Linked DNA regions of Saccharomyces cerevisiae S288C. The gene in region 3 interacts genetically with the main gene of each other region. Each region holds a gene or a part of one and is shown on either strand. Other genes may lie near its edges.

The links.
Region 1: mutations in PLB1 (region 3) and GLC7 impair growth when combined (synthetic growth defect), as found in Saccharomyces cerevisiae (one study listed by BioGRID).
Region 2: mutations in PLB1 (region 3) and HXT1 together harm fitness more than expected from each alone (negative genetic interaction), as found in Saccharomyces cerevisiae (2 studies listed by BioGRID).

The regions. Positions count from the first base shown.
Region 1 is NC_001137.3:430,898-434,520, forward strand, and holds GLC7 (type 1 serine/threonine-protein phosphatase catalytic subunit GLC7), read left to right. Parts: upstream 1-1,597; coding exon 1,598-1,774; intron 1,775-2,299; coding exon 2,300-3,061; downstream 3,062-3,623.
Region 2 is NC_001140.6:290,351-294,292, forward strand, and holds HXT1 (hexose transporter HXT1), read right to left. Parts: upstream 2,276-3,942; coding exon 563-2,275; downstream 1-562. UniProt on the Saccharomyces cerevisiae protein: Low-affinity glucose transporter. HXT1 is as well involved in the transport of mannose.
Region 3 is NC_001145.3:280,028-284,224, forward strand, and holds PLB1 (lysophospholipase), read right to left. Parts: upstream 2,558-4,197; coding exon 563-2,557; downstream 1-562. Other genes in the region: YMR007W (uncharacterized protein), read left to right, coding at 1-313; YMR008C-A (uncharacterized protein), read right to left, coding at 3,054-3,521; ADI1 (acireductone dioxygenase (Ni2+-requiring)), read left to right, coding at 4,075-4,197. UniProt on the Saccharomyces cerevisiae protein: Sequentially removes both fatty acyl groups from diacylglycerophospholipids and therefore has both phospholipase B and lysophospholipase activities. It also displays transacylase activity.

The DNA.
Region 1 (3,623 bases), on a different chromosome or scaffold from region 3:
ATCGCGAGGGCAACGCAAAACTAGCAAGATACACATATTCCATACATTAAAGCGGTAATTTTTAGTAGTTAATTTCGAAATTTCAAACCCGGCAATGATACGCACATTAAGAAAAGGGAAAAAAAAAAGAATAAATTGGCCATAGAAAAATTCTGTTATCCACTAGACAGAAGTTTGCGTTCCATACTGTCAGAGGTGGCATTTTACATAACAATAGTGACAAAAAATAAATTTCAGAAGGAAGGCAACATAAGTTTTTCTAATCCTAAAATCTTTCGATTTTGTATCAGAGATTGTTCACGCTAATGTCATTCATCATAGTAGATCATTTATCTTTCACTGCGGAGAAGTTTCGAACGCCGAAACATGCGCACCAACTTTCACTTCTACAGCGTTTGACCAAAATCTTTTGAACAGAACATTGTAGGGTGTGAAAAAATGCGCACCTTTACCGCTAGCCCAAGAGGGCACTACAAAATCTAGAGTTGTACTTCAAACGTACATGTAATCACCTTGTATATACTCGAAAGAAAACATCAAGTTTCTGTATAAATATGAGTGAAAGCATAATCATACATTATCTTTTCAAAGATGAAGAGTGGGTGAATTTTGAGATAATTGTTGGGATTCCATTTTTAATAAGGCAATAATATTAGGTATGTAGAAAGTACTAGAAGTTCTCCTCGAGGATTTAGGAATCCATAAAAGGGAATCTGCAATTCTACACAATTCTATAAATATTATTATCATCATTTTATATGTTAATATTCATTGATCCTATTACATTATCAATCCTTGCGTTTCAGCTTCCACTAATTTAGATGACTATTTCTCATCATTTGCGTCATCTTCTAACACCGTATATGATAATATACTAGTAACGTAAATACTAGTTAGTAGATGATAGTTGATTTTTACTCCAACAAAAGAATTACAGTCAGTGGCTGTTTGCTGACATTTCATTGCTTCCCTTACAACCTGATTTCCATTCGAGTTGAAAGGTTGAGAAAAATTGCAAGACTTCTCTCTCATCTACCTTCCCCTTTTCTTGAAGACAAGGTGAGAGACAATTTAGTACTAAAGCTTTTGCGGTTGTTATTCAATTGAGGTAGATACCTGGCAAAACATTTCTTGTGAGCACAACCTCAATTAAAGTTAGACAAGTAGGTGCACTATTGGTTGCTTGTTGGCTCATCTCGTTGAGGAATGTAATAACTACTTGTTATTAACCTGTTTTTGTGCCATCTATAGTGGAGAGCTTATTGCAATTTGTTTTTTATTTCTTGACTGCATATATCAGTCTTTGACAGGCTGCATGGGGATGACAGTTAGAAACTAGCCAAATTACCCCTTATGTAGATAACAATCATTGCTTATTCGCTCTTCCCCCATTTTTTTTCTTGCTCTTGCTGTTTTTTCTTTTAGCGTTCGTTTCAAGGAACAAGAGAGGGAAAAAAAAATCAAAAGTAGAAAAGAAGAAGAAAAAAACAACGTAACACAAGTTAACACCACAACTGAAAAAAAAAATAAGAGGTGAACGAACGAGTAACTGGGGAGAGGAAAGCAGATTACCACAATATACATTCAAATTAAAGAAATGGACTCACAACCAGTTGACGTTGATAATATCATCGATAGATTATTGGAAGTAAGAGGATCTAAACCTGGTCAACAAGTTGATCTAGAAGAAAATGAAATCAGATACTTATGTTCGAAAGCCAGATCTATATTCATAAAGCAACCCATTTTACTAGAGTTAGAAGCCCCAATTAAAGTATGTTAATGTTGAACTTCGCAGTCAAGAGATAGAATGCCTAGAGCTTCAGGTGTTTTATGTGTTCTACTCCTGTTGCGGCAGTAAGATAGTTACAGCAGTTATTTCCGTTTGACTGAAAGAATTTACCAAGCATCTGATGTTAGCCTACTCATATGTCGAGATAGCCGAGATAATGTGTGTGTTTAGCTCTTCATTTTTCTATCTTATTAGGCATTTTTTTACCAAGATTTCCTTATGTTTTGTATCATCATCCGGCCGGCGCCTCCCATATTCAGAAAAATCCCCCTTGCTCACACTAAAAAAAGAAGGCATTTTTTCGTTATGAAGAAAACGAATCTTTTTTTTTTTTGAGCCCGAGAGAAAGGTCGGACGAAAACCAAGAAATGTGGATTTGCAGAAGGCATTGGGAGAAATGAAGCGTTTTTGACAGCAGTAATTGTTCTCTTAAAGTCAACGGAATGAGCTAGATTTAGTGACAAATTCATTTACTAACTTATTTTTTTCTATTTTTTTTTTTTTTAGATATGTGGTGACATTCATGGGCAATACTATGATTTACTACGTCTATTTGAGTACGGTGGATTCCCGCCAGAATCTAATTATCTATTTTTGGGTGATTATGTCGACCGTGGTAAACAATCCTTAGAGACTATTTGTCTATTACTGGCTTACAAAATTAAGTATCCAGAAAACTTTTTCATTTTAAGAGGGAACCATGAATGTGCTTCCATTAATAGAATTTACGGGTTTTATGATGAATGTAAGAGACGTTATAATATCAAACTTTGGAAAACTTTCACGGATTGTTTCAATTGTTTACCAATTGCTGCAATTATTGATGAGAAAATCTTCTGTATGCATGGTGGTCTCTCACCAGATTTGAATAGTATGGAACAGATCAGAAGGGTGATGAGGCCAACAGATATTCCCGACGTTGGCTTATTATGTGACTTATTGTGGTCAGATCCAGATAAAGATATCGTAGGTTGGAGTGAAAATGATAGAGGTGTTTCTTTCACTTTTGGTCCTGATGTAGTGAACAGATTTTTACAGAAACAAGATATGGAGTTGATTTGCAGGGCCCATCAAGTTGTGGAAGATGGTTATGAATTCTTTAGTAAAAGACAATTGGTGACACTTTTCAGTGCTCCGAATTATTGTGGTGAATTTGATAACGCTGGTGCAATGATGAGTGTTGATGAAAGTTTATTATGTTCTTTTCAAATTTTAAAGCCAGCCCAAAAAAGTCTACCAAGGCAAGCTGGGGGTAGAAAGAAAAAATAAATAGATTCACGTCCTAAATCAAAGTTTAAAAAGGAAAATACTTATTAACAAGAAGAGTAGTAGAAGAAAAATACAAGAAACATAAACGTAGAAAACTTTTAGTCAATTCTTTAAGCGAAGAATACGAAAGAAACATCAAGAAAACAAAGGAAGATGCAATCATCACTCGTCATATACACAAATAATTCCCTTTAGTGCAACAAACCGCGAAAAAGCATAAGAAACATAAAAAAAATATAAAAAAAAGGAGATAATAATAAGATGTGAAGGATTTGAATTAGTGGAAAAATGATAAGTCTACACTATTATTATTAACGAAATGCAATTTTTCTTTATTTTCTTTTATTACTATTATCATTACTATTATTATTAGTATTATTATTTTTTTACTTATTTTTATATTAAACTATGTTAAATTACTATATTATTATTTTGTCTAACTCTATATTGAGGCTGTCTTTCGTTGCACTGTTAAGAATGGTCACGTCTTCCTTTGGCTTTGAACCCTTTTATAAACAAGTTGGCCAAATCATTTAGTCAATCACGTCAACCTGTCTAAAAT
Region 2 (3,942 bases), on a different chromosome or scaffold from region 3:
AAGGTCGCCTTTTCGATGGTAGCGTGCATTTTCTCGTCATTTTTTTTTTACTTGTCGTCTTTTCTTTACTGCTTCACCTCTTATCAAGCAAGTGTTTTTCGTGTCTCCCTGTGCCAGTCAGAAAATACATATGATTGGCAACTGTATATCCATTGAGATCGACTCGGTTATCTGTTAATGGAAATTATTGCTAGTAATTATAAATACCTAAAAACAACATCCTAACAGGCTTAAGTAACACTACTAGATGTTGAAGCAGCAGCGTTGTCAATTTCTATTCATTTGACATTTTTCCGAAATCATAAGCGGGCGTTTGAACTATGTATAGCGCCTATGTGGTATTAACCCATACTATATCATATAAAATTTTTCCTCGGAAGAGTGCCAGAATGAAATTTCTTGTTCCTTGGTGAAGGTCAAGAACTAGCAAAGAAAAGAACATCTGTTTATGAATTTGACAAGAATTTTGTTTTAACACCAATATAATATCACCTTTATAAAATTTACTGAGAAATTAAATACTGTATAAGTCATTAAAATATGCATATTGAGCTTGTTTAGTTTATTTCCTGCTAAACAAACTCTTGTAAAATGGTTGGTCATCATGCATTAGGTCATCAGCGTTGTAGTCAGCGCCTCTCTTGGATACTGGAACCCAGGAAGCTGATTTCCATGGTAGAACACCTTCGGCGTACATATCATTAACTTCTTCTAATGATAAACCTTTAGTTTCTGGAACGAAGAAAAAGACGTAAAAGTAAGCGAAAACCATACAGCCCATGAAAACGTAACCGTAGTAGAAGTTGATGGCACCAGTAATAAATGGGGTGAAGAAACTAATCAAGAAACCCCAGATCCAGTTAGCAGCACTGGCAATAGACATACACTTGGATTTGACTCTTAATGGGAAACATTCTGAAATAACAACGTAAGCAATTGGGGCCCAGGTAGTAGCGAAACAGAAAATGTAGAAACATGCGAAAACAATCATACAGTTACCAGCACCCTTTGAAGATGGTTGATCTTGACCGTTTGGCCATAATCTGGTAACACCAACAGAGGCATAGACAACATAACAGCAGACCATACCGACAGCACCCCACATCAAACAGTTACGACGGCCAAAACGGTCAACGGTGTACAGAGAACAACAAGTGGAGAAGAAGTTGACGACACCAAAGACAATAGAAGTTTCAAAAGAGTCACTTAAACCGACAGCCTGGAAAACAATGGTACCGTAGTAGAAGAAATAGTTATCACCAGTTAATTGTTGTAGAGATTGAATCATGATACCCATCATAGTACGTTGAAACATGGCTGGTTTACCAGTGAATAATTCGCCCCAAGATGCAGTACCAGCGGCTCTCATTTCTTCGACACTGGCTTCGATAGTTTCCAACTCATATTGAATGTATGGATGGTCAGGTGGGCATTTGTTAACTTTAGCTAAAGAAGCCCTGGCTTCGTCGATTCTGCCAGCTTCAACCAAATAACGTGGAGATTCAGGAACAAACATCATACCACCAATCATAAATAAGGCCCAGGCGAAACACAAACCTAATGGAACTCTCCATTGGACAGAGTTTGAGTAATTCTTGGTACCAAAATTGGTACAGTAACCTAAGAAAATACCTAAAGTAATCATGACTTGGTAACATGAAACCAAGGTGCCTCTCATTTCACTGGGGGCGACCTCAGATATTAGCATGGGAGATAAAACTGTGATACCACCGACACCTAAACCAGAGATAATTCTACCAATGAAATATTGGTACCACTTGTTGATCGAGGCTATTTGAATAATGATACCGATAGTGTAGATTACTACAACGACAATCAAACCGATTCTACGACCATACATATCACCTAGCTTGGCTAAGACGATACCACCAATGGCACAACCAATGTTAAAAATAGAGACAATTAAACCAGTTCTCACCTTGGACAAGTAATGACTACCGTCGTGGTGCTTCATACCAAATCTTCTTAGAAAATCAGTTTGAGCAACAAAACCAGAAATGGTACCAGTATCCCATCCAAATATGAAACCACCGAAAGCAACCATAACACAACAGATAGAAACCGTTACGTAGACACCTTTTCCGGTGTTTGGAGGGGCAACGGCGGGTTGCACTTGACTTTCACTTAAGTTGTCGTGAAAACTTTCATTTTTACCTTCTGGAGTATTCATGGCCTTTGAACGACCAGATTCCAATTCATATGAGTTGGATGAATTGGATTTCTGAGGAGATATTAGATCGGGAGTTGAATTCATGATTTTACGTATATCAACTAGTTGACGATTATGATATCTTTATAGATTTTAAGGTGGGGAAAGAACATGAGACCCCAGATGGAATTGATTATGGGGACATTGTTGCCTTTATATATAATTTCAATATACTAATTCAAATGATTAAAAACGTGAGGGGGACACGCAACTTCGGGTGTTAAGAAATATTTTGCTACATTAGATAATGGTGGAGTTTCCTGGCTTGTCGGATAAAAGCCATCAAATGTCGCAGCAGCTCATGTTTACGTTTGCTGTCTTCTGCCCACGTCATATGAGTGGTATTCTTCTATCAGCACTTGATGAATATTCTTTTTCTCATATATCTGAAAGACAAAAGATCGGCACGGCAATGCCCTGCAGCATTTCTTCCTAGTTTTTCCGAATTTCCATTACGTATTGGATCTTGTGCGCATATTTGTCAGTCCTTCACGGAAAAAAAAAAAGAGCACTGGGTCACTTCGGAAAAACTTTTGACTCAATGCAACAGTGTCATAATCCTTTGCGCTGTCTCTTTGAAGAAAAATCAGGAGTGCAAGATATCGATTAATTCCTTGGAAGTTATGATGGTTAGTCTTAGTTTAACTCTCTTGAAGAAGGGTTTTTTCAGTTGGTCAACACTCTTTAGAGGTAAAAAAAAAAAAAAAAAAAAAAAAAAGAGAATTCTTCATGTAATTTACCATGATTCTACGTTTTTGCAAGCAAAAATGAAGATAATCCGAGCGCATGCGCAAGTAGTCCCTGCCATGCCGCTTCGGAAAAACTTTCGAAACCAATACTCCTTACATCCGCCTTGAATTTAGGACCTACAATTGTTGTCTCTTCTGCTTGAACCAATAAGCCCTAGAAACCTTACACCCTAATTTGCACAAGAAAACTACGAAAAAATTTTTTCCTCTTTTTTCCGCAGCTCCAATCTCGCCCTGCTATTTTTTTGGTTCGGAGAAAAATAGTCGGTCGATATGAATTGAAGTTTCATTGTGGCCACTCGTTTAGGAATGGAATAACCTCCGCGAATGGAAAAAAAGAACTCGGAATATCAAAAATTCCGGCTCAAAGGAAAAATTTGCTTCAGGAGGGGGGAATTATATTCCAGATGAGACCTGCAAGGATTTCTGTGTGAGGTTTTCTCGGAGGAATAATAGTTTTCCAAAAATTACTTTTGGCAACTACGTGAATATAATTGACTACGGATATCCTTCGAGAAGGCCATAAAAAGAACCGTGACAGGGCCAAACAGAAAAATAATGAAGACAAGTTTGCTTTTTCTCTCACTGTATTTGAGGATCGGAAGCTTTTTGCACTGAAAATATTCTGGGTTAACAAGGTTTAAAGAAGCAAACTGCCACAAAGTATATGAGAGTATAACCGGACGGTACCTATACTTTGAAGTTGGAATAAATACGGGGTAGACAAAAAGGATGTGTTTCTGTATGTCTGATGAGAATGATGTCATCAAAGAACGTAAACAACAGTAACTGTCTATATTCTTGCTTTTTATTATGCGCTGTTACAGCAGGTAGCGGAGTTTTCAGTTCTTTCCCTAGTATGTAGTATGAAGGATAATACGGTAAAAGAACGGGGCTCTTGATTCATCATATAAATTTATTTTCCCCTGTTGAAACCTCGAGTAACCGTCCTCACTGTTTTAT
Region 3 (4,197 bases):
TCGAAGGCGTATACGAGCCAAGAAAAACCTTATTTCCCAGTTTGGCCAGACCGGCTGCATTGGGTGCGACGGTAAATTCTCTATAGGCATCACCATTGAAAAGTATGTCCTTAATTTAGTCGTGAGAATCATCATTGTGTTCGCCCTTTGTCGTATAACCGAATTGAGTGTCTTTGATTCATCTCTAAGGTGTAAAAGCAGAAAAACCAGATTATCTAAAGCTGCAAGAAAGAAAGAAACTGATCATTTTCATGAACAGTGCAGATATGTGGAAGTGAAATTTGGCCTGCAGATGGCATATCTGCAATCCTAGCTTTTTCCTTCTGCACTTTAAACCTATCTATATATCTTCGATGAAAGTACTGCATGAACATATCTGTATAGATAGATATATGTAGGGAAGACACCCGGTATGTAAATGTTAATGCTCGTAAGATTTCGAGTTTGTAAAAATAAGATGCGGTATGCACTTGAGATCTCGTAAACTATTTGTATGTTGATATTTTTGCGCTTTTCTCACTCTCGTATTCTTTTAGAAAAGAAATAGAAACGAAGAAAGAGCCTAAATTAGACCGAAGACGGCACTAATGACACTTAAGACACCAATAAAAGTGTTAGTGTTTAAGTTAGAATAATTCACCAAAGCATTGCCCGCATTTTTCTTATGAGTGGAAGACCCAGAAGCAGAGGCAGAGGCGGAAGCAGAGGCAGAGGCAGAGGCAGAGGCAGCAGCGGCGGAGGCAGACAAGGAAGCAGAAGAAGAATAATCATCATTTCCTACACCTGAGACTGACCTGCTGTCAATAGTACCGTTCCAGCAGTAGTTGGTAAAACACTGGCTGCATTCAGAGGGCAATGTAGCATTCAAGTTTTGTTGCTTACGTCTGATAATGGCGCAACCAACACAGCCCAAGAAATCAGAATCATCAGTAAAATTACCCATTGTGGCAGCTTCAAACCCATTCTTAATCATACCAAGACGTTCTGAATCGGAGTATGACATCTTAAAAGTACTTTGGTTACCATTAAATGAATGTCTTGAATTTGGAATGTAAACAATTAATGGTGGAATGTACTCCAAGTCTGTCAAATTTCTTGCATCACAACCAAAAAAGGTTGGCTTTTTGTTCAACCCCAAGTTGACAAATGTGTTCACATCTGGAACATATGGGAAAGACAAATTGAGACCTTGGCTGCCAAATTGACGCTGATAAGTGTTAACTAATGAAGCACCATCTGGCCAATAGTCGTCAGTATCAGCAGAATTGTCTAATGCAAAAATAACATCTAGTTCACGTTCCTTTTGCAACAATGGAACTAAAGGAATATTTTGGTTATCTTCACCACCATCAACCAAAAATAGATATTCTGATTCGATAATACTGGAGGTTGCGTTCTTTTGAAGAAAATTAGCTTCCTTGAATGGATTTGGGGCGTAAATTGCAATATCGTCACTATTGTCGGATAAATCTTCCAGGAAATCGGTGGCTAAGTTAGCAATAAATGAAGGTAAATCGGTAGAATTCAATCTTAGTAAAAATTGGTTAAACAACGTAGATGAAGTGGCTGTTATGAAACCAGTGTTATCAAACCCGGCAATGCATTGGCCTTTATTAACTGGTTTACCGTTTGTAACGTTGGTACCTAAATACTTCACATCCGTAAATGCGTTCAAAGTGGGGTCCCATGAACCCATTTCAAAGGGATTAAATTCGAAAAGAGTGGCATTCAAGTTTATCACGGTGGTACCTGGGTATCTACCGTCTGCAACAGTGATAGGGAAGGGCATTTCTCCATTCTTGAAGACATCAGCTTCCCTTAAAGTTGACCATGTGTACCCTACACCACCACGGTGTAAGCTTGGCCAAAAATTGTACGCAAGAGCACGGCCCCAAACATCCGCCAAAGAGATGTTGAAACCGGCGTCTTTTTTATCCTGAACGTCATCTGATATGTCGTCCCATCTACTCCCAGTCTTAAAGATGTTAATGCCGTCTGGGGTAAGAATTGAATGAGAGATGTCCCAAATTGAGTTAGATTCTGTTGTATTATCCACGATAGCTTGCACAGACGTCCAGTTGTTCCAAGCCAAAGTACTTGTTAACCAGTTACCACCCGACAGACCTGCCAAGTAAGTTGCACCTTGCAGCAGCCCACCAAGACCATGCTCATTTGCGCCATCAGTACGATTGTCCATAGCAGCAAGCATACCAGCACCAGACAACATGGCACGGTAACCACCACCAGAACAGGCGACGGCAATCTTAGGCATATTGGAAGAGTTGCTACCAAAAAGAGTGGATAGCAAGGAAGTGTCACTGAAATTCGAAGTGGCCCTATTCAAAAAAGAATGCAAAGCCTCCTTGGTGTATGCATCTCTTTTTTTCAGCCATTCTGTTTCGTTATCTGACAAACCAGATGCTTCTCTGACTAAGTTAATATCATCATCACAGGTTACGTTCGCAGGGACGTAACTGTTATTTGGTGACCAAGCGTTAACGTTCTCTGTTAGAGAAGTCAAAACTGCAGCAGAAACCAACAAACTCTGCAACTTCATGGTTTTGTTTTATTTTCTTTCCCGTTTGCCCTTAGGATGGATAGCTTCGTGTAATTTACGTTATATGAACGAAAAAAGAGAGAAATGTTAAGAAAAGAACGAAGAATTGATTAGTTAGTATAACCTAATAAATGTAGAACCTTACAGCGAAGAGACGTTTCCGTTGGTTAAATGTGGTGGAAGCGTCTTTATATATTAGATGATGTAGTTTACCTAAGCAGTTAGAAGAAAATAAAGTAACCAAGTCATCTTCTAAGCAAAAATAGGAGACGTAAATGAATGTTGCTTAACTGAGAAAAATATGCGGGAATAAGCGGACATGTTACTGTATGAGGTTATTTCCCTTTATAGATAAGGGCGTAAACCGCATATAATGAGGAAAGGCGAAGTTAGAAACGGACTTTTTAGGTCGCTTTGAAGAAGTCCGTGCAGGAAACCCATGCGTCCACTTATTTTAGCACTATGTGGCATGAGAAAGCTTTGGAAGGAATAAACGTTAGGACCCCACTGCGCCGCTTTTACGCAGGGCAATTTCGGGGACAAAGGGGGCTGAAGGAATACAATTCCGATCCAAGGCAACAAGTAGGTCAGAACCCTTTATTAACCTGCGCTTGTTAGTGGCTTCCTTTGTACTCTGTCCGTAATCCAGCATAGCGCTGAATTGCTGAAAGATATGGGTAGCGGTCAGATGAGAAGGGCAATCGTCAGGACTTCTGTTGAAAAGCGGACTAAACATAGGCATTATCATTCTTAGAGTTTTACGAGCAAATAGAATCGAGTGACTTCCGTCGTTGCTAACAGGCGCAGTAATAATAACCGCGGACGAAAGCCACGCAGGCAAAGAATGCTTTCGCTGAAATATCGGAGTCTTGCTATTGTTCAGGGCTTTGCCGGTGCGTAAATAATAGGCTGAAGCGAATTTGATTTCCCGCACAAAAAATTTTTGCTCGAGTAAGTCATACATATATCTTGCATGCGTAAAAAAAATTGCAATTGCTGAAGATTGAACGACCGCCCACCGGTATTTTCATCTCTTCTAGATCAAGACTAACTGCTCGTTCAGTACAAGTATTTTACGATAGTCCATATTACTCTTCAATTAATATTTTTTTTTTATATTCTGGCCCGTTTTTGACACAATTTTTTCCTTCTCTTTTTCTCCCTATAAACTATGCAGAAGTAGCGATAATCACGATCTTGTTAATGATTCACATGTGCGCAAGTCGTATTGTCTGTCTAGATAGTGAGATGCCTTCTAAATAACAGGAGAGAGGCAAGATAGCATAACGGCGCAATGAAGGTAATTTCTGCCAGTTTTCTTTGCATTGACGACTGAAAGGGCCCTTGTAAGAGCCGCTCGACAGGGCGACGCCACAGTAGAGTCGCTAACACCGAAATATGCATATTGAAAAACATCAAAGTATAAAAGAACAAAGAGGGTGGCATCTGCAGATCAAAAAAAACAATAACCACCAAACAAGACACTAAAAAAGGTCGTAAAAAGGTCAAAAGTTAGAATGGTTAAGGTATATATTCATGACAACAAGGTTGACTCCGATTATCGCGCACCCCACAATTCTGGAACAGAACTTTCCCTGGATGAATTAGCCAAGTTAGGAGTGATTTATAAATACTGTGCA